Saccharomyces cerevisiae S288C: one gene and its partners. The protein of the gene in region 2 interacts with the protein of the main gene of each other region in a biochemical or structural test. Each region holds a gene or a part of one and is shown on either strand. Other genes may lie near its edges. The genes, in order: RDH54, DMC1, RAD54 and SAE3.

Region 1 (7,098 bases), on a different chromosome or scaffold from region 2:
TCTTGCTGTTGAAGTATCTGAAGTTCGGAACAGTACAGCTTTACCACCAGCACCAGTTCCCTCTAAATTTATCACATACTTGGTTAAATTAGACCATGAGTGATCAAAATAAGTTGATGCACCTAGTAGGCCAAACTCTTCATTATTATTAAAGTTGAAAATTAAAGTCCTGTTCGGTCTGTGCTTTATATGGTACTTGAGGTTCGCTAGTAAAGACACTACACCCATGCCGTCATCGGTAGCTCCATATCCTGTGGGTACAGAGTCGAAATGAGCTGAAAGAAGTAACCCTTCTTCCTCAGGATTTTTACCCTCAAGCTTAACTAATATATTAGAAGATTCAAAATATGTCACTCTCGAAAACCTAGATGACTCATTGAAAGGATCTTGTTGCTGAAATAATATGGATCTCTCGCTTTCTTTGTCATCTGAAACACTTGCAAACGAAGAATTCCCTGTAATTTCAAGAACCCTTTTGAGCAAGTAATCATGTACTTTATCATTTTCTTTGGACGTGTACGGATGAAAAGAGGCCGTGATAATCTGTAAGTCCCCCCATGCTGTTTCTAATAAGTCATTGAATTCAGGGTGCTCATCCTCTTTTGGTAGATTGAGTTTATAACGTTCATGATCAAAGATATAGAGTAACGTAATAATCGAATAGGTGATTAATAGAAGCAAACTCAAATTTGTTTTCCGGTACTTTAGAACTGATCTGAATACACTTTTTAATTTCATGCCGTGATTCTTTAACTTTACCTATCAATTTATTTCCTTGTAGATAATTTTTCACATTATTTTTTTTTTTTTTTTTTTGGGACTAAAGGCTATTCAAATCTTTCAGATGTTTGATTTGCGCCCGCAGCGTATCGTTATCAAATTAGTGAAAACGTGGATATCAACTTGAATCAGCAATAGGCCCTACTTAATATGTGACTTGAACCTGAATGAGTCGTGCAAGAATAAACCTATTAAATACAATCAGTGATTAAATAATAGCTATTTTATTTAGTATATAAGTGTCCATATTTGGCGTCATTGTTCTCTGAGACATATCTCGCCGGGCTTTACAAACGCAAAGGTAATACTATCTTTCAATTCGGTGAACGAATCTGTGATAACCTCATCAAATAATTCATCTTGTCTTGCTGGATCGATATGCTTATAATGAACGAGACATTGCCTAATGTATTGTGACTTTTTGGCATCATCGTTGGTGGCTGCTTCATTCATTTTCTTTTGTAAATCCAGCGCACTTGTCCATGTCGTAGTGCTACGCTTTCTCAGCTCTACGGTGTTCTGCTGTTGATTTGTTTCAGGATATTCAATTTCCTCACCTAAACCATCGCAAGAACAAATTAAGTCATGTGTGTTACTCTTGGTATCTGTATGGACAGAAAACAGGTCCTTCAAGTCCTCTTTATTGAAAAGATCATCATTAGAAGATTCTTTATTTCTCATCTCCGAGTCACCTAGAAATTTTTGGCTCAAACTGTTCTTCATTAATTGCCTTTGCAATATTTTCTCATCGATACACCCAGTTGTGACAAGTCTATATATGAAGCACGGCTTTTTTTGACCATCTCTATGAATTCGTGACATCGCTTGCAAATCTACTGAAGGATTCCAATCATTATCAAATAAAATAAGTCGCGAAGCACCGACTAGATTCAATCCTACACCTCCCGATTTTGCACTCAACAAGAATCCAAATATGGCTGGATTCCGATTGAAAGATGTGACGATAGAGTCCCTTTGTTTAGCAGGTATGGAACCGTCGAGTCTGCAATGTGACATCCCAGCCATATTCATCAAATTTTCAATTATATCCAATGTTTGAGTGTAGTTAGACACTACGACGACCTTCTCCTTGGTACCCTTCCTAATACCTTCTAGTAATGTCATTAATACCTTTAACTTACCAGAGTTCAAAGAACGACTATAGCTGTCCTGAGATTGGGTATCCTTTATATGTGATTTGTAATAGGGATCTGAGCCAACCAATCCAGGAGAGTTACAAACCTTTTTCAGTAATGTTATTAGTCCTAGCGAAGAACTGAACGTCAATTGTCCAAAATCTAAACGTGCGCCCTGCAAAATATCTTTGAATGCCAATATCTGTTGGCTGTATGGTTTACAGAATAAAATTATATCCGTCTTTGGAGGAAGGTACTTTTCTAAAATCGCATTTGTTCGTCTCAAAATAAATCTTTTCGTAATTTCTATCATCTCTTTTGACCTTTCTTCCCCCTTTTCCAACAATTCTTCGTTGTATCTGTTTGCAGTGTCTCTGGCTCTAGTTATAGGGATAATGAATCTTCTTTTGAAAGAAGCGAAGCTTCCAAGGATTCCTGGGTTTATGAAATCTATAATAGTGAAAAACTCATTAAGATCATTTTGTATAGGAGTTCCCGTAAGCAAAAGCTTCCTTCTTATGTCTAAACTCTTCAGCGTATTTAAAATTTTAGAAGCCCCGTTTTTTAGTCGATGGCCTTCGTCACACACCAGCATGTCAATCAAATGTTTATTTTTCTCTAATTCTTCAGAAACACTCAAGAGTTTTTCGTAGCCAATAATCAAGACTTGATAAGTTCGTTGCACTTTTAAAAAATTTCTGACAGCCATTTTATCCATATCAGGAGAATTCCTTGAGCTTAATGTCAAAACACCTATTCTTGACAAATTTAACCATTTTCCAAATTCTCTTTTCCAATTTCCTATTAAAGTAACGGGACAAACGACTAAAATCTTCTTACAAAGTCCAGTTAATGGTATGCCTGATTGCGAACATGAAACTTTTGATGCAAAAGGAGTTTGCCTAATTAATGTCCAAATCAAAGTTATACTCATTAGTGTTTTACCTAAACCCATATCATCAGCCAAAAGGCATCCACTAATATCTGAGTCATTTTCTAACACTAAACTTTTAGTAGTACAATCGATATCCGGATTTTCAATAGTTGGTCTTGCCAAGCCCATTAAGCAATCATACATGAACTTCACCCCTTCCCTCTGATGAGGGCGCAAGAATTTGCCCAGTAATGGATCAACAATTACGTCAACTTCAGCGGCTGCATTTTTGTTCATTACTATAGGATTATCGATTTTGTTGACATCAAATACTGGATAATATTTTTTGGCTTTGGAATTTTGACTGGTTTTAGGTACTGTGGTCATGTGTTCATTTGTTTGCTTTGTTACTGATTTGAATCTTTTCACAGTGTTTAGTGAAAACAGCTGAGACAGAGGCATTTGGTATTTGCCACCGTCATTCTTCGTAGAAGGCACTGTTTCTGTTGTGCTTGTGGTCGGTGGGCTGGGATTTCCCATGTTTTGTGATAAGGCTTCTTTGGCGCTACGTATTTCTGCATTTTCCTTCAATTCGTAATCCAATTGTACTTCATTGGAGCCTGCTTTGAAAAGAGTTTCGAAGAGAGAATCTGAATCACTTGGTAGCATACTTGACCCAAGAAATTTCCCTGCTTCGTTATAAAAGCATAACTTATCGCTACTGGCTTTTAAGGTAGCGTAGCCATCACCACTCCAAGTCTTGTGCTTTTTGGTAGTAGGCTTCCTGTACATGATAGTAAAATATCTAGTGTTTTCATTTGAGGACAGATTATTCGGCTTCTTGGCAAGATTTAAAGTAGGTCCCGCCGAAATGCTTCTTTTCAAGTTGACAGTAACTTTGGCTTTAGATATAGGGGCTGTTGTGACTGCAGTGGCGGTTGGTTTGAGTTGTGTGTACTTATTTGATCCAACCCTTCTTGGAGGCTTGAATGGCTTGTTCTCATATTTCGGTATCTGCATTTGAGTAGTACCGGAATCAAATACCGTTTGATATACCGAGCTGTTTTTTACCTCCTGTAGGATCTTCTCTCTTCGTCGAGGTTTAACGCTTATTACCGCCATTTCAATACAAAAACTCGATTCTAATCGGTTATTTATAGTAGGTTTTCTTTTTTTTTTTTAGCTCTTCGCGTTTTATTTTTTATTTTCTTGATGCATATATTAACGCGATCGAGTAAAAATGCCTTTCCCAGAAGTAGAAGTAGGCAAGACATCCATATTTCAAGCCACATCCATAGAGATACCTCCAACAGCGCGTTGTTGAAGATTTTGGTAATTACAAGAACGAGGTTAGATTCCTTCGTTAAAACTTAGTCAAAAATAACGGTCATATATCGAAGCCAAAGCAAGTTTTTATAACTATTTATTCATCAACTCATATATATCTAAACTAATTCTAAGAGGTAAAATCGCTCAGATGTGATGACCATATGTTTCAAGCCCATATGCAAGCAACAATGGTCCTCGCGAGAGGGACAACACTATAGAGCCAGGTCACTTTAGTTACCCCACGATTCTTGAGAAGAAACCTCAATCTTCTTGACGTGGTTCTTACCATCCTTCTGAGGCTTCAATTTTGGAACTGTTAATGTCAAAACACCATTTGCGTAGTCTGCTTTAATGTTGTCTGCATCCACACCTGGGTAGTCTGGCAAAGTGATGACTCTCTTGAACTTACCAGAGCTGCTCTCCTTGACCTTGACCTTGTCTTTACTCTCTTCATTCAAGGTAGATGGAATTTCACCAGAAACCAAAATTTGGTTCTTGTTTTGATGGTACTCAATATCAATGTCCTTCTTGCTTTTGACACCAGGAACCACGACTTTCAACTCGTAGTTGTTGTCATGGTCCAAAATATCAACTGGAACTGCGACACTTCTAGGGAAACCGAAACCAGATGGGAACAGGGACAAGTCATTGTCGAACCAATCATCTAAGGTTTCATCTCTGGGATCATAAAGAGCGCCAGCATAGTTATTTGGTCTAGCAACTTCCTTGCCAGTAGAATCCTTTGCGGGTGTGTTTGCTAACTGACGTCTTGGTGCGTAGCCTCTTAAGCCGCCTTCACCCAGCAATCTGTTAAAGGCATCAACTTCGTTGTTGATGTTGTCAAAGAAATCAAAAAATGGACTGTTAAATGACATGTTAATTTGTTTAGTTTGTTTGTTTGCTTTTTTGGATACCTGTTTTAATAGAGATCTGATATATCTTTATCGGTGGTTTTATTAGTATAAGAGAGTAGAATGAAAGGTGAATGGATTAAAAACAGATCTCTAACTAATGGAGGTCCTATTTATATGTTTAGGAATAAGGGTGAAAAAGAACCGTTGTTATGAAATACCACTCAAGAACGTGCATAGATCCGCAAGGACATCTAAAACTCGCATATTACTTAATTTTGTGTTGCGAGCACGCTAAGTGCGAATACCTTACTGTTACGAGCACCCTATATTTTTGGACGCATAAGGGGGAGGGAATAACCATCGATCTTTCTAGAAATCAAGCAATGCTTGAAAAAGCACTTTCGTTGGTTGTGGATGTTCATGTAAAGACGGTTACTATTCCGATCCAACAATGCACCTTGACAGGCAAGGTTCTTTAGGGGTACACACGGAGTTAGGGGTACACACGGAGTTGCTGCTGCCCCAGTAACATCCCAGTGATTACCAAATGAAGACACATAACCAGATTATTTTGTGCCACATTGCCAAGAAGGTAAGAGAATTGTGGCTTACTGTAAGCTACAGGTTCAACGGTGCATGCAAGATGGCCGCGTTATTTTTTTGGGGTCCCCCCCTGAGGCTTATGAGAGAGACCCATAGTCTTGTTTTCAAGGAGCCAAATTGCCAAATGAAAAGAAAAGAAAGTTAAAAATTCAATTAAATTAAACTAGGAGTAATGTTAGTGTATGTAGTAAGAAAATGATTGATGTGCGCAGAATATTGAAACGGAGACTGAAAACATTCTATTGACGGATTCCGAGCGAGAATCACGTAAAGAAGGTTCTAGAAAAAACATAAAAAAATGAAAAAACAAAGTGAGGTTGGAACTAGTAGAGCCGTTTAGGGACTCTTAATTAACGAATTGTCCAACATCAACAACAAAGTGTGTCCTATGGTAGGTTATATTAAAAAAAGTCCAACGATGTCCTTCTACTGGAACCCATATCCAGGTTGTCCAAATTTGATTCGTGCAATGTTTCGATAGACGCTGTCCTTGAGGAGGAGTCGTTTGAACAGAAGACAAAGAGAGCTTTAGAATCATCGATTGCTATTGTGTTGTTAATTTTGAAAGCGTCTGTTTTATCCATCTCTTCAATATCTTCGTACAACAAATCGTGAATGGAATAGTCATTATCTTGGGAAAATATGGAAGAGATCGAGCTCTTGGTGGAGGAAAGACTGGCGTCTGATTCGCTCCTCGTTGACTGCGTTGGTGATGGAGCCATCCGCAGCTTTTCTTCCTTTGCAGCGTTTGTTTGCATGTGCCTCATGGCCGAGTGGTAGTCTTTAAGCAGTGTTTCGTCCAGTAACAAGCTGCTCCTTTTTAACTTTGACTGACTAGATGTGCTTCTCTTATTCGTAGGAGACAGGAATTGAGAAGGAGCTGTGCCCTCCTCCTTTTTCTGCTTCGTCTTGGAGTGTCCATGGCCAAATTCGCTAGTCAGCGAGATTAGCGAACTTTTGGATCCTAAATGCATGGATTGTCTTTTCTTGGTGTCTGCGTTTGTGTTAGTGCTGGAATTTTTAGAGCGTCTTAGCATTTTACGTATTTTGTCTTTTTGTGCCGTCACAATATATAGTTGGTATGTTCTTTATCGTCGTATATTTCTCGTGCCGAGCTTGCGCCTTCTTTAACAATAAACCAAACGAATATTGAGGCTTCTTTATAACAGTTTGGCAAATAGTCAAGAATATAATGAGCAGCCAAGCGCGAAATTATGAATTCTATTAATATCCGCACTAGTGAATTCGAATACTTCCTTTACAGGTCATTTTCTCCTATTGCTCCAATTTACACTGCTGTGCTTTTTTTTTTAATTACGCGCATTAGGTAATTTTACCCCTACGCGAAAGTTAGTCGTAATTTCGTGTTTCTTTTTTTACGTGTTCTGTCTGTCCAGAAGCAAAAATGTTCTTAGCGAAGCCATCCTAATATTTCATGTACAAGGGCCCGCAATAACTGTAATCGGCGGTTTATTATTGTATCAGGAAAGTCGAAAGAAGTGACTTGAAGATCATGAAAACG
Region 2 (5,425 bases):
GTGACAACGCAAGAAACAAAAACAAATGCAATCTCAATATTATGTGAAATTGATGATTTCGTAGCGAATCATGCGCACTGTGGGAGAAGCCTGGGTATAATTATGTATGCTAATACTGTTACGTTTATCTGAGGTTTGTGTGAATTTTGTGATAATTATCGGGATTCCATTGTTGATAGAGGCTTCAATACTATGTATACAGAACATACTAGAACTTCTCCTCAAGGGTATAGGGATCCTCAAATTTAATCGGTATTTGCATACAATAATATTACGATTATTTTTCCTATCGTTTTATATGCTTCATTTTCCCATTACATTATCAATTCTTGCATTTCAGCTTCCATTAAACTTGCTAACTCTTTCTCAAGCTTCATTTCATCTTCCTAGATCTCATATGATACTATACCAGCAGCAAGAATGCTACTAAATGGATGATATTCTAGAGTTTCATTTCATCATCTACACGAAGGGATGGGGGCATCTGAAGTATTTGAAACGTTGCTATGATTTCATAATTTATGCAGGTTTAACACAGATTACAGGTCTCTTGGCCCAGTTGGTTAAGGCACCGTGCTAATAACGCGGGGATCAGCGGTTCGATCCCGCTAGAGACCAATTTTTTTGAAAATCGTAAAAAGGCCCAAAAGGGAGAGCACAGCACGTTCTGCTTAAAAAAATAAAAAATGATGTCTTCAATAAAACATCTTAAGGACCAGTTTGTAGATCTGCGAAGTTGTTGACTAGATAAATTATAATAGCAAACAAACAAATAGGACAATGTCAGCGGAGAACATTAGTACTGGCTCGCCGACGGGCAAGCAGCCATCCTCTGAAGTTAATCTTGGCGAAAGAGAAGCTGGAACAAAAAATGAGAGGATGATGCGCCAAACCAAACTTCTGAAGGATACATTAGACTTGTTGTGGAATAAAACCTTAGAGCAGCAAGAGGTGTGTGAGCAACTAAAGCAAGAAAATGATTATCTAGAAGATTACATTGGCAATTTGATGAGATCCAGTAATGTGTTGGAAAAATAACTTTTCAACGTAGGTTTCTGTTTTAAATAGGTAGATCAGTCAAACGGATGCGTCGCATAAATGGCTGATAAATTTTTCCACTACTCGTTTTCTCTTTTTCTGAGTTTCTATATTTTGCGCCTGTTTTACAAAGAAACCAGTATGGTTTGATCCCATGGGCGATGCCACAAAGAAGCTATAGAGAAAAAATGTTAAAATATTCGAAAAAGCTTCGAAAGATTTTATTGCGGTCACTCATGATCATAAAAAAAACCCTTCTCGCATTTGTAACATTGTATTTTAGTTTCTACTTCTTGTAGCAGGCCCTGAAGTATAGATTCTCAGACACAGTGACAAAATGGATGTCGATGAGAGGTTGCATCAAGATGAAAATCAAACCCACCCTTTTTCGCAAAAGAAGTCAAGCAGTTTCTTGATAAAGGAAAAAGCTGCTACAAAATCCAAGGATCTTGAACATATAAGGCTTCGTGACCTAAATTTCAATCATAGAAAAAAGCTAGATGACAAAAAATTGGCAAAGCAAATCCCAGTTAAGGCAAATTTCAAGAAGCCTAACGAAATTGAAGCTCGCGCTAACCTAAATTCAAATGAATTAACAGATATCAACCTTGACTATATACCGGATTCCCCATCTATAGAGAAAATATCAGGGCCTGAGGATTCTATTGTTGTAACGCCAAGAAATATCATACATTTACAATCTGATTCAGATATTATTCTCGAGGAATGCGAGCATAATTATGACTGTAGCCCTTTTTACCGTCTGTTCAACTACGAAAATAGAATTGAGCCCGATGACTACGAGGCTATTATAAACGCTATAATAACTGACGAAATTGCTGGCACATATCCGGTTTTCGAACGGGAATTAGAGTACCAAGAACTGAAAAGTCTTGTCAGAAAGCGAGATTATATTATGTATTATTTCTTGTCAAGGGATTATCGGGGGTTTTTTCAGTTGAAAGAGGAACGTACTTTATTTTATAGGTACCCTTCAATTGCGTACACTAGCCCGTTGAGGTATCTGGATAATGGATCTGAAACCGAGCAGTTTACCGGGGATGATGATGAGGAGCTCCAATCATTTGATTTTGAAAACACATCATCTGTGAGGACTTTAGATAGTAATATATGGCGTTAGGTAATGCTCAATTTTATATACGCATATGCACCATAGTAATTTAATATTTTTTTTCCGAATTACAACAATTATATTATAATATTCCTTTCTTTTGGAGCTGCTAAAACAAAGAATCATAACAAGATATTAATAATATTAGTAACACAAAGTAAAAGAAAAGTTTAATAAAGGAGCAATGTCATCTTCATTAAAAAAGTATACAAAAACTAGTCACTTGAATCGGTAATACCTTTTTCACCAATTACGTAGACACATTCTTTTTCAGGCATATCTGGGGAATCTTGTAACTTGGCAACTCTTTCGTCACCACGCCCTTTTCTCAACAAAATCCTTGTTGCTGACGCATGTGCCAGAACGTGCCCTCCAATTGGTTTCCTACCATCTGCCGAGGCAAATAATGCAGAAGCACCTGGGTCTGATTGAACTTGGTTTGTCAGAAATACTGCAACATTAAATTCCTCTGCCAATCTATTCAATTTGAAAAGATGTTGATTTAGCTTTTGCTGTCTTTCGCTTAGTTCACCTCTACCGCAGTAGTCTACTCTGAAGTTTGCCATTATAGAATCTACCACGATAAGGCGATAATCTCCAGAACTAAGTTCTTCACCCAATTGTTCAACAAGTTCCATTTGATGTTCACTATTCAAGGCTCTAGCATATGAAACGTTTGCCAAACATGACTCGGGATCCAATTCATAACCTTCTGCAATTTGCTTAATCCTCTCGGGCCTGAAAGTGCCTTCTGTATCAATATATGCTACTTTCCCTTCACCACCACCCATTTCCCTCGGAAGCTGCGTGGTAACACACAAAGTATGAGACATCTGTGTCTTACCACACCTAAATTCACCAAATACTTCAGTGATACTCATTGTCATTATTCCACCACCTAGGATTGAATCTAGTTGCTTAGATCCAGTTGATAAGGAGTACACACGCTGTCTTATATCTAATTGTACAGTAGCGGGGATAAATCCCACCTGTATGATTTTTCCAGCAGCTTCTTTAATTTTTTCCACTTTCACCTCACTTAACCCTTTAATTTTACATAGATGTCTTCTTGTTGTTGACAAAACGGTCTATAAAAGTTCCTTTCCAAATTATTAGTTAGTAAAAGAAAGGGGGAAAGAACCTCTACAGCAGAGGTTTTAAAAATGTTATTATAACATACATTGACTGTGTATATCCCACCAGACTTCAATTTTTGAAGATCTGAGGCATTAATACCATAGTTCTGTAATTCATCTACACTAAGAATATTTTTTGCTGTATCACTATCGATCTCAGTTCCTGTAACAGACATATTTGTTCAAATGCTTTCCTGATTGGCATAACAGACTACAGCAAATATAAAAGGGTGAAAGTAAATCTGGAAAAGTAGAATCCAAATTTTTTGGGTCAACTACCCTTCCCTTTATATAAAAGTTTATCCTTGGGCGGCTATTTTCCGGTCTGTTAATAACTATCTCTCCACACAATGTGTGGGGAAAACCCGAAGAAAAACAACAAGGCATAAAAAAGAGCTATATTGTTGATATACAGTTAAAATATACTTGACTTACATTTCTTGCTATAAAATGGCGCTTCCAGGGAAGAATATCATGCGATCACAGCACTATTATTTTATTTTTCCTTACGATTTAATTAATCCCTAGAGGCAAAACCTTGCTTTTTGAAGTCCCAAGTATCTTCAGGGATCCTACCTCTTAGGGTTGGAGTTTCTGTACCTTTCACGTAGACGTCTTCAAACAAGATGGATAATTTGGCTTCTGGAGGAGGAGCAGCATCAGCTAATTCAACTTGTTCGTCAACGTATTTTCTAGCGGACTTGTCGTAAGCTTTGACTTCAGCTTCAGTGGCAATACCTAGATCAATCAAATGCATCTTAAGACCAGCAATTGGATCGTTCTTGGATCTCATATGCTGAATCTCGTCTCTAGTTCTGTAGGTAGTACCGGGATCAGACATAGAATGGCCACCGTACCTATAGGTTTCATATTCTAGAACGAGAGGACCTTTGCCGGATAGACACCAGTCCTTAGCAAACTTGGATGCTTGGTAGACAGCTAGAATATCCATACCGTTAACTTTTAAACCTGGAATATATTGACCACGCTTGAAATATTCAGTCATCGCGGAGGATCTTGAAGCGGCGGTACCCATACCGTACTTGTTGTTCTCACAGCAAAACACGACGGGCAAATTCCATAATTTGGCCATGTTGAAAGATTCAAAAACTTGACCTTGATTAGAGGCACCATCACCATACAAAGTGAAAGAGCAGGCGTCCTCGTTCTTGTATTGGTGAGCAAAAGCTAAACCTGCACCTAAAGGAACCTGGGCACCCACGATACCATTACCACCATAGAAGCCTGGAGCGTAAAGGTGCATGGAACCACCCTTACCATAAGAGACACCGGCTCTTCTACCCATCAATTCAGCCAGAACGGCTTTCACTGAGGCACCTCTCATAAAAGTGAAACCGTGACATCTGTAAGATGTGATGATGGAATCCAATTTTGTGATGGCATTCTCGATACCGACAGCAATGGCCTCCTGACCAACAGATAGATGGCAAAAACCTCTGATTTTCTTGGCCTTGTACAAGGCGTCACAAGCCATCTCCATTCTTCTGATGATGACCATATCTTTATACATCTGTAACAAGGTGGCTTTCGAAGTCTCATAAGACAAGTCTGGAGGCTCTAGCATATACGACTCGAAGGAAGATTCAGGCAACTCAATTTGCACTGTGTCCGAGCCCTCGATGTCCTCAGGGGCCTTCTTATCAGTTGTTTTTAAAGTTGCCATGGTACGAACATGACCTATCCTGGTGGGAGTGCGAAGAACAGCTCCTAACCCGCGGACCAATTGTGATGGTTGGCGTTTGAATGAAGCAGCAAGCATTGGCACAAATGTGGTTTCCTTTCTTATTGCTGTATCCAACTTTTGTGAAGATACAGGTGCGACAAACATAAAAAAGTTCTTGCCGTTAAGAAGCTAAAGTTGCTTCTCGCTATACCAGAGGGGATTATTGTCGGGAGTCATGATGCGACATTTACCCGGTTGAGTAAGGAAGGGGTGGAGGAATCAGAAGAGAGATAAATAAACATACACGTCAAAACAGTATAGTTCAAGTAACACATATAGACATGTACACGCGCGATTACGTGTGTACATGCACATGTTAATGTTATATACATATATAGATATAGATATATAATTGCAATAATGAACTACAAATTA
Region 3 (6,959 bases), on a different chromosome or scaffold from region 2:
TATGCTTAATCAACTTGCGTGAGCCTGTACCCTCAATGACATCATCCGGTATGGCAATATTCCGCAACAGCGTGCCTCGATATAGCCGAATATCGTCAGGAGTCAAGACGTACCGCAACTTGTTCGAGATCATTGGCATTATAGTATCGTCTTGAAGCAAAATCTCAATTTTCGCATTACATTTTATTTTTTTCAAACGACATTTGTCACAACTTGGGCCACTTCTTTGTCTCTTGGAAATTGAACTAGTAGATGTGGCAGAGGAGGTTGTCGAGTTGCTCGTTGAGCGCGAAATTATAGACATTTGAGTGCATGACGCATTAGCGTCTTCATTGACCATGGAAGCAAGAGCATGAGGATGATACTCAAACAATGGTGGAGTGTAATTTTGTGGAGGGGGAACAATCGCACTTACGGGGAGCGTTGGCGGCGGCGTCACCGTGGCAATACCAATAGCGCACTCATTACTGTCAGCGGCAGCAGGCTTTAATCTCTTATAGCCTCCTAAAAGCTCGTCAGTCGGAAAAGCCCGCTTCCTCGTCCAAGTGGTCGACAAGAGTTCTGGATCGGTGATGCCCACATTTTGGGTGCCTTTACGCCGTATATCTTTTTCTAGCAGGGAAACATTGGGGAGCAATAGCGGTGGTAGCGATCGATCTCTATTTCTTACTGTAATGCTTGTGGACATCTTCTTTTGACATACGATGACCTCAATGATTTAGATTATGTGTTGCACTTTTATAGACCTACCAAAAATCCAGTGCGTACACTAATACTTTCATAAAGATACCTGAAACAATAACCAGAAAGATCGGCAAAAAAATTTTTTTTCTTTGCCGAGATCACAAACCTACTATGACGAAAAAGCTTGAAGTTTAGATGAGTAAGGAAAATACAAGTGACGCTTTTATATGGTGCAAGGAACAAAAACTAAAAACAACAAGGCAAATGTGGATCTGTCATGTATGGCAACGACAGCAGGATGGCTCACAAAAAAAGACAAAAAAAACTAAGGCAAAAGAACAAAGCTCCTCTCCTGCTCAAGAAACGTATTGTTGAAAAACCACCGTCGTAAGAAAGTTTTTCTGTGACCTATAATGGTTTAAAATCGGCCCATTTTTTTTCCCTCTTTTGTGGTCCAGTCTTTCTCATACTCGAGGGAAATTCGACACAAACAGCGGAGAAGTGTGGCTAAACCGGCAAGTGCCTGCAAGATCCACAGAACTAACCGCACGAACTGGCGGTCAGAAAAGAGCCTGTTCCGGAAAGAGAGAAACAGAGAAACGATCATGATGGGAAAGCGGGGATTCGGCGAAGAACGAGACTGGAAAGGGAAAAAGAGAAATACTGGTGGAAGTATTCGGACCTTTGGCGAAGTCCGAACCCTTGAAACCCAAAGATGATCGATGATTCATTTTTCAATGCGCTACGGTTCCTGCCGCTCGTGGGAACCCCACGCAAAACATATTATTCGCTTCTCTCTGCTGACAACTCCGGTTTACGTTATACCGTATTAGGATCACTATAAGGGTTCCTTCGGGAGGAGGGGGGAGGGGAAGAATGTACATCGTCATAAGGCCTTTATGGTGTGAAGTGGGTTTTGCGTGGAAAATTCGTTTTCAATGATATAGAGCCCACGCATATACGTACATACTAGTGGCCAAAAGCGTGGGGTGGGCGGACAAAGCTACACTGGTAAAATACAGGATTCTATGAACAATAACAACAACCAGCTCACGTTGCTGAACAGCCGAGGTCAGCCGATGCAACCGAGGTTTCCAAAGTAGCATTTCTGTGCTAGCTATGTCTGTAGGTTTACATTTAATGGTGCGTGGTTCCAGCTTCATGTGCTTGCATGTGATGTCCTGCAGATGGTAAGAAGATTCTGAAAGCCGCGCTAGGAGAAAAATATTCTGCTCGAAGATCTGTCCTCTTAAGTAGAAAGCGTGAAATTGTTGCGTTCTTGCATTACTACTCAACGCGTACGCAAATGCGTCTACTGCACCTGCATGATAAAGCTTATGTATCAAAAATTTAACATCTTGAAAATACACAAGTGGTGCAAAGATGTGTCACGTTCTGGACCTGAGTGGTGCCATGTATGCTATTTAACATGCAAAGGGGAAGACCCTTCCGCCTTACTGCAATAATAAAAAGTATTTTACGCGTTACCCAATATAGCAAAGTTTCGCGCAAAAAAAAAAATAAAAAACAATTACAAACAAAAAGAAAAAAAAGGAAATAATAGAAGATCTAACTGAAGCGAAGGCCAAAACTCTTCTCACTTGACGTAATAGCCGATACAAAATCTAGAGCAGCAACTTTTCTCTTTCTTCACTAAAGCTGCTACGAAAGTATAGAAAAATCAAACGCTCAGAACTTAGCTCTATTTCAAGGTACCATATATATTTCCTTATAACTGATGGCAAGACGCAGATTACCAGACAGACCACCAAATGGAATAGGAGCCGGTGAACGGCCGAGACTGGTACCTAGGCCTATTAACGTACAAGACTCGGTGAACCGACTAACGAAACCGTTCAGGGTCCCGTACAAGAACACGCACATCCCGCCCGCTGCTGGTAGAATCGCCACCGGGTCTGATAATATCGTAGGAGGAAGGAGCTTGAGGAAAAGATCAGCGACTGTATGTTATTCCGGCTTGGATATAAATGCGGACGAAGCAGAGTACAACAGCCAAGACATAAGTTTTTCTCAGTTGACTAAACGACGGAAGGATGCTCTTAGTGCTCAAAGGTTGGCCAAGGATCCGACAAGACTGAGTCATATCCAGTACACTTTGAGAAGATCTTTCACTGTGCCAATCAAGGGATATGTACAAAGACACAGTCTGCCATTAACGTTAGGAATGAAAAAAAAAATTACTCCAGAACCTCGACCTCTACATGACCCTACAGACGAATTTGCCATAGTGCTTTATGACCCGTCCGTTGACGGTGAAATGATTGTCCATGACACATCTATGGATAACAAGGAAGAAGAATCAAAGAAAATGATCAAAAGCACACAGGAAAAGGATAATATTAACAAGGAAAAGAATAGCCAGGAAGAAAGACCCACACAAAGAATAGGACGCCATCCAGCTTTGATGACAAATGGTGTGAGAAACAAACCGTTACGTGAGCTACTCGGTGATTCGGAAAACTCTGCGGAAAACAAGAAGAAATTTGCTAGTGTCCCTGTGGTTATTGATCCAAAACTGGCCAAGATTTTAAGACCCCATCAAGTCGAAGGGGTGAGATTCTTATACCGTTGTGTCACAGGGCTTGTCATGAAAGATTACTTAGAAGCTGAGGCGTTCAACACTTCAAGCGAAGATCCCTTAAAGAGCGACGAGAAGGCACTTACTGAATCTCAAAAGACTGAACAAAACAATAGAGGGGCCTACGGCTGCATCATGGCCGATGAAATGGGGCTGGGTAAGACATTGCAGTGTATAGCACTTATGTGGACATTATTAAGACAGGGCCCGCAGGGTAAAAGACTTATCGACAAATGTATCATTGTTTGTCCATCTTCTTTAGTCAACAACTGGGCTAATGAATTGATAAAATGGTTGGGTCCCAATACTCTAACTCCGTTAGCGGTTGATGGGAAAAAATCTTCAATGGGTGGTGGTAATACAACAGTTTCGCAAGCTATTCATGCCTGGGCTCAGGCACAGGGAAGAAATATTGTTAAGCCCGTTTTAATCATATCGTATGAAACATTACGTCGAAATGTTGATCAATTGAAAAACTGCAATGTGGGTTTAATGCTGGCAGATGAAGGGCACCGTTTGAAAAACGGTGACTCTTTAACATTCACAGCTTTGGATAGCATCAGTTGTCCTAGAAGAGTTATATTATCTGGTACACCCATTCAAAACGATCTTTCCGAATATTTTGCTCTACTGAGTTTTTCGAATCCTGGCTTATTAGGTTCCAGAGCAGAATTTAGGAAAAATTTTGAGAATCCAATTTTGCGAGGGCGTGATGCTGATGCTACTGATAAAGAAATCACAAAGGGCGAGGCGCAATTACAGAAGCTATCTACCATTGTCTCCAAATTTATTATCCGTCGTACTAACGATATTTTGGCCAAATATTTGCCTTGCAAGTATGAGCACGTTATTTTCGTAAACTTGAAGCCGTTGCAGAACGAGCTCTACAATAAATTAATTAAGTCAAGAGAAGTGAAAAAAGTAGTAAAAGGTGTTGGTGGGTCTCAGCCCCTGAGGGCTATTGGTATTTTAAAGAAGCTATGTAATCACCCTAATCTCTTGAATTTTGAAGATGAATTTGACGATGAAGATGATTTGGAACTACCTGACGATTATAATATGCCGGGTTCAAAAGCCAGGGACGTACAAACAAAATATTCAGCTAAATTTTCCATTTTGGAAAGATTTCTCCATAAGATAAAGACCGAATCCGATGATAAGATTGTTTTGATCTCCAACTATACCCAAACCTTGGACCTCATTGAAAAAATGTGTAGATATAAGCACTACAGTGCTGTACGGTTGGATGGTACAATGTCAATTAACAAAAGACAAAAATTGGTGGATAGGTTCAACGATCCTGAAGGCCAAGAGTTCATCTTCCTCTTAAGTTCTAAAGCAGGTGGGTGTGGTATCAATTTGATTGGTGCAAATCGATTAATTTTGATGGATCCGGATTGGAATCCTGCTGCTGATCAACAAGCTTTGGCACGTGTTTGGAGAGACGGTCAAAAAAAGGATTGTTTCATTTACAGATTCATATCGACTGGTACCATAGAGGAAAAAATCTTTCAAAGACAATCTATGAAAATGAGTTTGAGTTCATGCGTGGTCGATGCGAAAGAAGACGTTGAAAGGTTGTTTAGTTCTGACAATTTAAGACAGTTGTTTCAAAAAAATGAGAATACGATATGTGAAACACACGAAACATACCATTGTAAACGTTGTAATGCTCAGGGTAAACAATTAAAGAGAGCCCCTGCAATGTTATATGGTGATGCGACAACTTGGAATCATTTGAACCATGACGCATTGGAAAAAACAAATGATCATCTACTAAAAAACGAGCATCATTACAATGATATCAGTTTTGCATTTCAATATATTTCACATTGATCTCTTACATACATGTACTTATAAAACAAAAACAAAAAGTAGAATTCGATCGTCGGGGGGTCATTACATATTTATTTTAAATGATGGGCATGGTTATATATATTTAGACGTAATAAACAATTGAAAATTGGGGCCAAATTGGTAAATATCTCTATGTATTTCAATCAAAAAAGTATAATCGTATAACTTAAGGGTAAAAAAAGTTGAGCGATGTCATATTATACTTGTGCTAGCTTTTAAATTTTTCATTATCTTCAGTTTTATCGTGGTAAAGTGCCAGCCGAAACTGCCAAAAAAGATTATGGCAAGAAAATCTCACGCTGTCAGGGAAATAAAAATCTGATACAGTTTCACACTCTCAGAAGGATTAACTTTAACTATTACCTAACACCAATATCTGAAGAGAATGGATGAAATTCTTGCCAAAGCAGGTTCACAAGCCGTTACATTTGCTATAAAATCCGGAATATCGATAGCATCCACATATGCGCTAAAGACAATAACGAACTTTGTCGTCCAGATTCCTAAGGATGATGCTAGAAGAATAGATCAACTGAAATTTAAACTGGAAAGCCGCATGGCTATTGTATCCAGTGCAATTGACCTAATAAAGCTGGTAGCGGCGAGGGGAAACACGAATTTGCAAATCACTCTGAGGTTAACCAAGGATTTAAAAGAAGAGATTGATAGGTTTGATGAGAAGATCAACGAAATGACGCAGAAAGTTGAGGGTTCCAGGAGCGCAAAAACACAGAATGAAGCTATTAAAGCGGTAGAAAACTATATAAAGGACTTGCTATTGAGGATCGAAGAAATCACTCCATTCATTAATCTTTCTTTAACCACTTCTGGTGCCAACTTGAACAGCGCACTCCCATATCAACTTTCTCCTGGTTTATTATTAAAAGCCTCCGATTTCGTTAGCGAGAACAATAGAAAGTATGAAAAGGCAATGAAGAGTAATGAGAAAGGAACAGGTGACAAGGAGATTCTAAAAGTTCAAGTGGGGCCTACATTTGAGGTTACACTATTCTCTATTTTCTATAACCTAACTTCAGAAAACAATGGGCAATCAGGAATTGTTTGGAAAGAGGATATGAAACGTGCAAAAGCAAGGATATATAGATTGAACTCTACAGGCAGAAAGTATGATTATTTTATGAAAATAGAACAAGACTTCAATGACGGTAGATATCATGAGGATGATGACAAAGAAGACACACCACAGGAACTTGCCATAGATCTGAACCATATTAAGAAGCTGTTTTTCAGTGTTTCCGGTAAGCTTCTCCGATTAGAAGAACAGGATTCTCCAGTGTTGGTATTGAAGATTGACCGGAGCGATGACAAAGAAAATGAGAGCAGTGAAGGAGACAAGGGATTACTCGATGACATTACTTGGTATGCGGTAAGCGGATATGAAGCGATAGAGGAAGATGAAGAGGAAGATGAAGAGGAGGACGAAGAGGAAGGAAAAGACGGAGAAGAACGAAAGGAAGAAGAAGAAGAAGAAAATAAATTGGAGGACAAGGATTCGTCGATCACACTACTGGAGTACATCATTCGGCTGACGTCCTTACAAAGTAACGATCAGAAAAGTATATTGGAAGTGAGTGATGAAAGGTTATCTATATATTTGAACGATGAAAATACGAACTCCAGAAAGGATAGAATAAGCAATTCGACAATTGAAGAGACAGAAAAAAAGTTAAAAAACCTAAAACTTTAGGATGGTTACGTATCCTGTGCAGCCTTGGACAAATTTTATAATTGTATATATCTATGTATATGTATACGAATGGAAAAATTTATCCGAATCTCGGCCCGACTGCCAGCTTGC
Region 4 (4,593 bases), on a different chromosome or scaffold from region 2:
ACGGCACTGAAATATTCGCTAAACAAAGTAAAAAACAGCACTGATATTGCATCGACCATCATACCGAGACCTAGTATGTCCAACGGTCGTCCATCTTCGGGATTGAGGAGAAGTTCTAGTAAAAGCTTTTCATCTACCCCCGTAAATATCATTGAGCCATCGGAGGAAAATGGTAGACAATCCAGCATTAGAATAAAGGGAGTCGAATACGCGAGCGAAAAGAAAGATGCAGAATTCCATGCAATATTCAAGGACTCTGGTGTCAGCCCCAATGAAAGGTTGATTTTAGACCATAGTTGTGCTTTGTCAAGAGATATCCTTTTGCAAGGCAGAATGTATATTTCTGATCAACATATTGGATTTTATTCGAACATCCTTGGTTGGGTAAGTACCGTTTTTATACCGTTCAAGACAATCGTTCAAATAGAGAAAAGGGCCACAGCAGGAATATTCCCTAATGGGATCGTTATAGACACTTTACACACAAAATACACGTTTGCCTCTTTCACTTCAAGAGATGCTACATATGATTTAATTACTGAAGTATGGAATCAAATAATTTTGGGAAAGAGGTTTCGTAGCAACAGTAATAACACTAATAGCAGCTCCAATTCTATCAGTGATGATGAAAATGACGATTACGATGATGATTACGATGATTATGGAGATGATGATGACGATCTTTACGATAATAGCAATAACATATCTGATTCTACCGACATGACATCAAGCGTCAGCATAGGAAAGCCGGAAGATTTACCCATGCCTCTACAAACAGACACCCCTTATGGAACAGGAATTCCACCACTAGGTCCAAAAATTCACTCACCCACAGAAACAGTATACAAACCAGCGCCCAATGAAAAATTAGTTAACGAATCAACAATACACGCTTCGTTAGGGCGGGTTGTCAATATATTATTCGGGAAAGATGTCAGTTATATTATGGCCATTTTAAAAGCGCAAAAGAATAGTGATATTTCGCCAATCCCTGTTCTCGTTGATTCACCCACGGTTTCTGAAGGTAAAAAGAGAGATTATTCCTACGTAAAAACAACACCAGGTGCCATTGGACCCGGTAAAACTAAATGCATGATAACTGAAACCATTCAACACTTTAACTTAGAGGAGTATGTTCAAGTCTTGCAAACAACAAAAACTCCGGATGTTCCTTCTGGAAATTCATTTTATGTGAGAACAGTTTATCTTTTATCATGGGCAAACAACAATGAAACAAAACTAAAACTGTATGTCTCTGTTGAATGGACAGGTAAAAGCTTGATCAAAAGTCCTATTGAAAAGGGTACATTTGATGGTGTAACGGATGCAACAAAGATATTGGTGGAGGAGCTTGGTAATATTTTAACAAGATCTGCTACCAAAAGGAAAAGGTCTTCGAAGGAGAACACTGTTACAGTATCAACTTTACCGAAAATGGAACCTAGCTCACATGCACCTACCGAGCCTGATATTCAAAAGGATAAGGATGACTCTATTATAAGGGAAAATGAGAATATACCAGCTCCATTAGGGACCGTGGTCCAATTGCTATTTGGATCGAATACAGAGTATATGCAGAAAGTTATCACTAGAGATAAGAATAATGTCAATGTGGAAACGATACCAAAATTCACGCCTTCGTTGGTTGAAGGAGGTTCAAGACACTATGAGTACACGAAGAAATTGAACAATTCTATCGGACCTAAGCAAACAAAATGTTTACTAACCGAGTCTATTGAACACATGGATATCAATAACTATGTTTTGGTGACACAAACAACTAAAACTCCAGACGTCCCCTCTGGTAGCAATTTTGCAGTAGAAAGTAAAATCTTTCTATTCTGGGGGCAGCATGACACCACGAATATGACCGTTATAACAAAAATCAACTGGACAAGTAAATCATTTTTGAAAGGTGCAATTGAGAAAGGATCTGTTGAGGGTCAGAAGGTTTCTGTCGATTACATGCTATCCGAGTTAAGAGACATTATTAGCAGGGCAAAAAGCAAAAAACCGGTGAAGAAAGTAATGAAGAGTCATGATAAACATAGGCCTTTCCATAGTAAGGTTGAACAGAAAAGTTCCGAAAGCCGTAAGAGCGATGATAATAAAGACATTTTAACTCATATTTTGGATTTCGTTCAGAATAATTTTAGTTCAGAAATTTTTATGAACAAATTGCTGAGTCCTCAAAAACTATTCTTGATCTTGGGGTTGACCATTATGCTTTTCTGGTCTCCTCGGCTTCACGTGTTTCAAGAAAAAAATAATCTTCAAATCATCAAGCCAGGAAGGCTGCTGATTGATGGTCAAGAATATAATTACGTGCCCAGTTTCGGCACACTGTATAACTCATATGAAAACGCCATATCATCTAAGAAGAAGAGAGAAAATGTAAATTACGCAAGGGATAAGAGTCCTATTGTAGGAAGGGAAAGCGATATTTGGGATTGGATCAGTAACAGAGGGAGTGCAATATCACCTCGAGGTCGTGCTATGTTGAGAAACGATGACGAACACAAATTGCAGCAATTATCAGAAAGTATCAAAATAACAGAAATGCAACTAAATCATATGAAAACTATGTTGGACAACATTGAGAGGGACGCAAATGATCTATCTTAATAGCATTTTATATATTCTGTTTGTATTATTTAGTAATTGTATCTAGTACATATCCTGTAGCGGTTGGCCTGATTCCTTTTAAGTTAGATGACAGGCACACTTTGCATTATCACATCAGACGGAATTGTTCTGCCTAATGGCGGCTATTCTATTTCTGCTTCATAAATGCAAAGACAGAGTATAAGAATAATTTTAAATTAAAAGCAATGGTCTTATCCTTGCCATAAACAGAAGACAACTTGCAAGTATGAACTATTTGGAAACACAGTTAAATAAAAAGCAAAAACAGATACAGGAATACGAAAGTATGAATGGCAACCTGATAAAGATGTTTGAGCAATTGTCTAAAGAAAAGAAAAAGTATGTAGCTATTTTTTCCAGTCGGCAAAAATCGGTATAACAAACAAAAAATATTTAGTTTCTGTTATTAACAGAACTTGTCAAAGTGATGAGACACCAAAAAAAATTTCCTCGACGTACATTAAAGAGTTAAAGGAGTACAACGAATTGAGAGATGCCGGTTTAAGGTTGGCCCAAATAATTGCTGATGAAAAGCAATGCAAAATTAAGGATGTTTTTGAAGAGATCGGTTATTCAATGAAGGACTAATGGGCTTTTAGGGACAGTTCTATTCTTCCAACGTGCGAAGCGTTCCAATGAAACTCTGCTGCGCGCTGAAAACTATATAAAAAAAAAAAAAGATAAAATTACAAAGAAGTAATGAACTTAAATGCTATTATACAGTTACTAATTAAGCTGCGTAGTGTGAAATATATTGATAGTTGTAGTTTTGAGGTTTTATTACCCTCTGTTATATAATAGGTTTTCGCTATTTTATTGCCGAAAATCAAGACGGAGCGTAAGCCTCTTCGGGCAATACCTTCGACTATTCCAACAATAAAATTTAAAAAAAGAGATTAATCACATAGTAACAAGAAATAAACGAAAAACATATCATAGGAGATCAATGAGCCAACTTCACATAAACTAACAGTGAAAAGTCTATAACAATATTAATTTTACACAATTAAATCTACACTATAACTGGCACTGTTAATAATCGGTAATCTGCTAAGTAACTTTTTTTTCTCATTCACAAAGCATCGTTTTCCTCTTCCCCACGTCCATTATCACTTTTCTCCATATCACCCTTCATACACATTAAAAAAACAGCATATCTGAGGAATTAATATTTTAGCACTTTGAAAAATGCGTCTACTTCGAAGAAACATGTTAGTATTGACACTGCTCGTTTGTGTGTTTTCATCCATCATTTCATGCTCAATCCCATTGTCGTCTCGCACCTCAAGGCGGCAGATAGTGGAAGATGAAGTTGCCTCCACTAAAAAGCTCAATTTCAACTATGGTGTGGATAAAAATATAAACTCGCCCATTCCTGCTCCAAGAACCACTGAAGGTTTACCAAATATGAAACTCAGCTCATATCCAACTCCTAACTTATTGAATACTGCTGATAATCGACGTGCTAACAAAAAAGGACGTAGGGCTGCCAATTCTATAAGTGTACCCTATTTGGAGAATCGTTCCTTGAACGAACTGAGTTTATCAGATATACTAATCGCAGCCGACGTTGAGGGTGGACTTCATGCTGTAGATAGAAGAAATGGTCATATCATATGGTCAATCGAACCAGAAAATTTTCAACCTCTGATAGAAATACAAGAACCTTCGAGGTTAGAAACATATGAAACGTTGATTATAGAACCTTTCGGTGATGGGAACATTTACTACTTTAACGCCCATCAAGGGTTACAAAAACTGCCTTTATCCATACGACAACTTGTATCAACTTCCCCGCTGCACTTGAAAACAAATATTGTGGTTAATGACTCTGGAAAAATTGTTGAAGATGAAAAGGTCTACACTGGATCGATGAGAACTATAATGTATACTATAAACATGTTGAATGGTGAAATTATATCAGCGTTCGGACCTGGTTCAAAAAAC

Evidence for each region.
Region 1: the proteins of DMC1 (region 2) and RDH54 form a complex in vitro, tested with the Saccharomyces cerevisiae proteins (3 studies listed by BioGRID).
Region 3: the proteins of DMC1 (region 2) and RAD54 form a complex in vitro, tested with the Saccharomyces cerevisiae proteins (4 studies listed by BioGRID).
Region 4: the proteins of DMC1 (region 2) and SAE3 form a complex in vitro, tested with the Saccharomyces cerevisiae proteins (2 studies listed by BioGRID).

Annotation. Positions count from the first base shown.
Region 1 is NC_001134.8:379,926-387,023, reverse strand, and holds RDH54 (DNA-dependent ATPase RDH54), read right to left. Parts: upstream 3,913-7,098; coding exon 1,036-3,912; downstream 1-1,035. Other genes in the region: PFF1 (Pff1p), read right to left, coding at 1-738; YBR072C-A (uncharacterized protein), read left to right, coding at 4,003-4,164; chaperone protein HSP26, read right to left, coding at 4,350-4,994; YBR071W (uncharacterized protein), read right to left, coding at 5,978-6,613; N-acetylglucosaminyldiphosphodolichol N-acetylglucosaminyltransferase anchoring subunit ALG14, read left to right, coding at 7,090-7,098. UniProt on the Saccharomyces cerevisiae protein: Involved in the recombinational repair of double-strand breaks (DSB) in DNA during mitosis and meiosis. Has DNA dependent ATPase activity. Promotes D-loop (displacement loop) formation with RAD51 recombinase.
Region 2 is NC_001137.3:546,478-551,902, reverse strand, and holds DMC1 (recombinase DMC1), read right to left. Parts: upstream 3,483-5,425; coding exon 3,351-3,482; intron 3,259-3,350; coding exon 2,386-3,258; downstream 1-2,385. Other genes in the region: YER181C (uncharacterized protein), read left to right, coding at 107-430; SLO1 (Slo1p), read left to right, coding at 781-1,038; ISC10 (Isc10p), read left to right, coding at 1,376-2,179; PDA1 (pyruvate dehydrogenase (acetyl-transferring) subunit E1 alpha), read right to left, coding at 3,824-5,086. UniProt on the Saccharomyces cerevisiae protein: Required for meiotic recombination, synaptonemal complex formation and cell cycle progression. Recruited to meiosis recombination hotspots by MEI5 and SAE3.
Region 3 is NC_001139.9:191,867-198,825, reverse strand, and holds RAD54 (DNA-dependent ATPase RAD54), read left to right. Parts: upstream 1-2,422; coding exon 2,423-5,119; downstream 5,120-6,959. Other genes in the region: SUT1 (Sut1p), read right to left, coding at 1-688; YRB30 (Yrb30p), read left to right, coding at 5,526-6,848. UniProt on the Saccharomyces cerevisiae protein: Plays an essential role in homologous recombination (HR) which is a major pathway for repairing DNA double-strand breaks (DSBs), single-stranded DNA (ssDNA) gaps, and stalled or collapsed replication forks.
Region 4 is NC_001140.6:260,833-265,425, reverse strand, and holds SAE3 (Sae3p), read left to right. Parts: upstream 1-2,872; coding exon 2,873-2,985; intron 2,986-3,071; coding exon 3,072-3,234; downstream 3,235-4,593. Other genes in the region: LAM4 (Lam4p), read left to right, coding at 1-2,625; bifunctional endoribonuclease/protein kinase IRE1, read left to right, coding at 3,835-4,593. UniProt on the Saccharomyces cerevisiae protein: Involved in meiotic DNA-break repair. Required for the recruitment of DCM1 to meiosis recombination hot spots.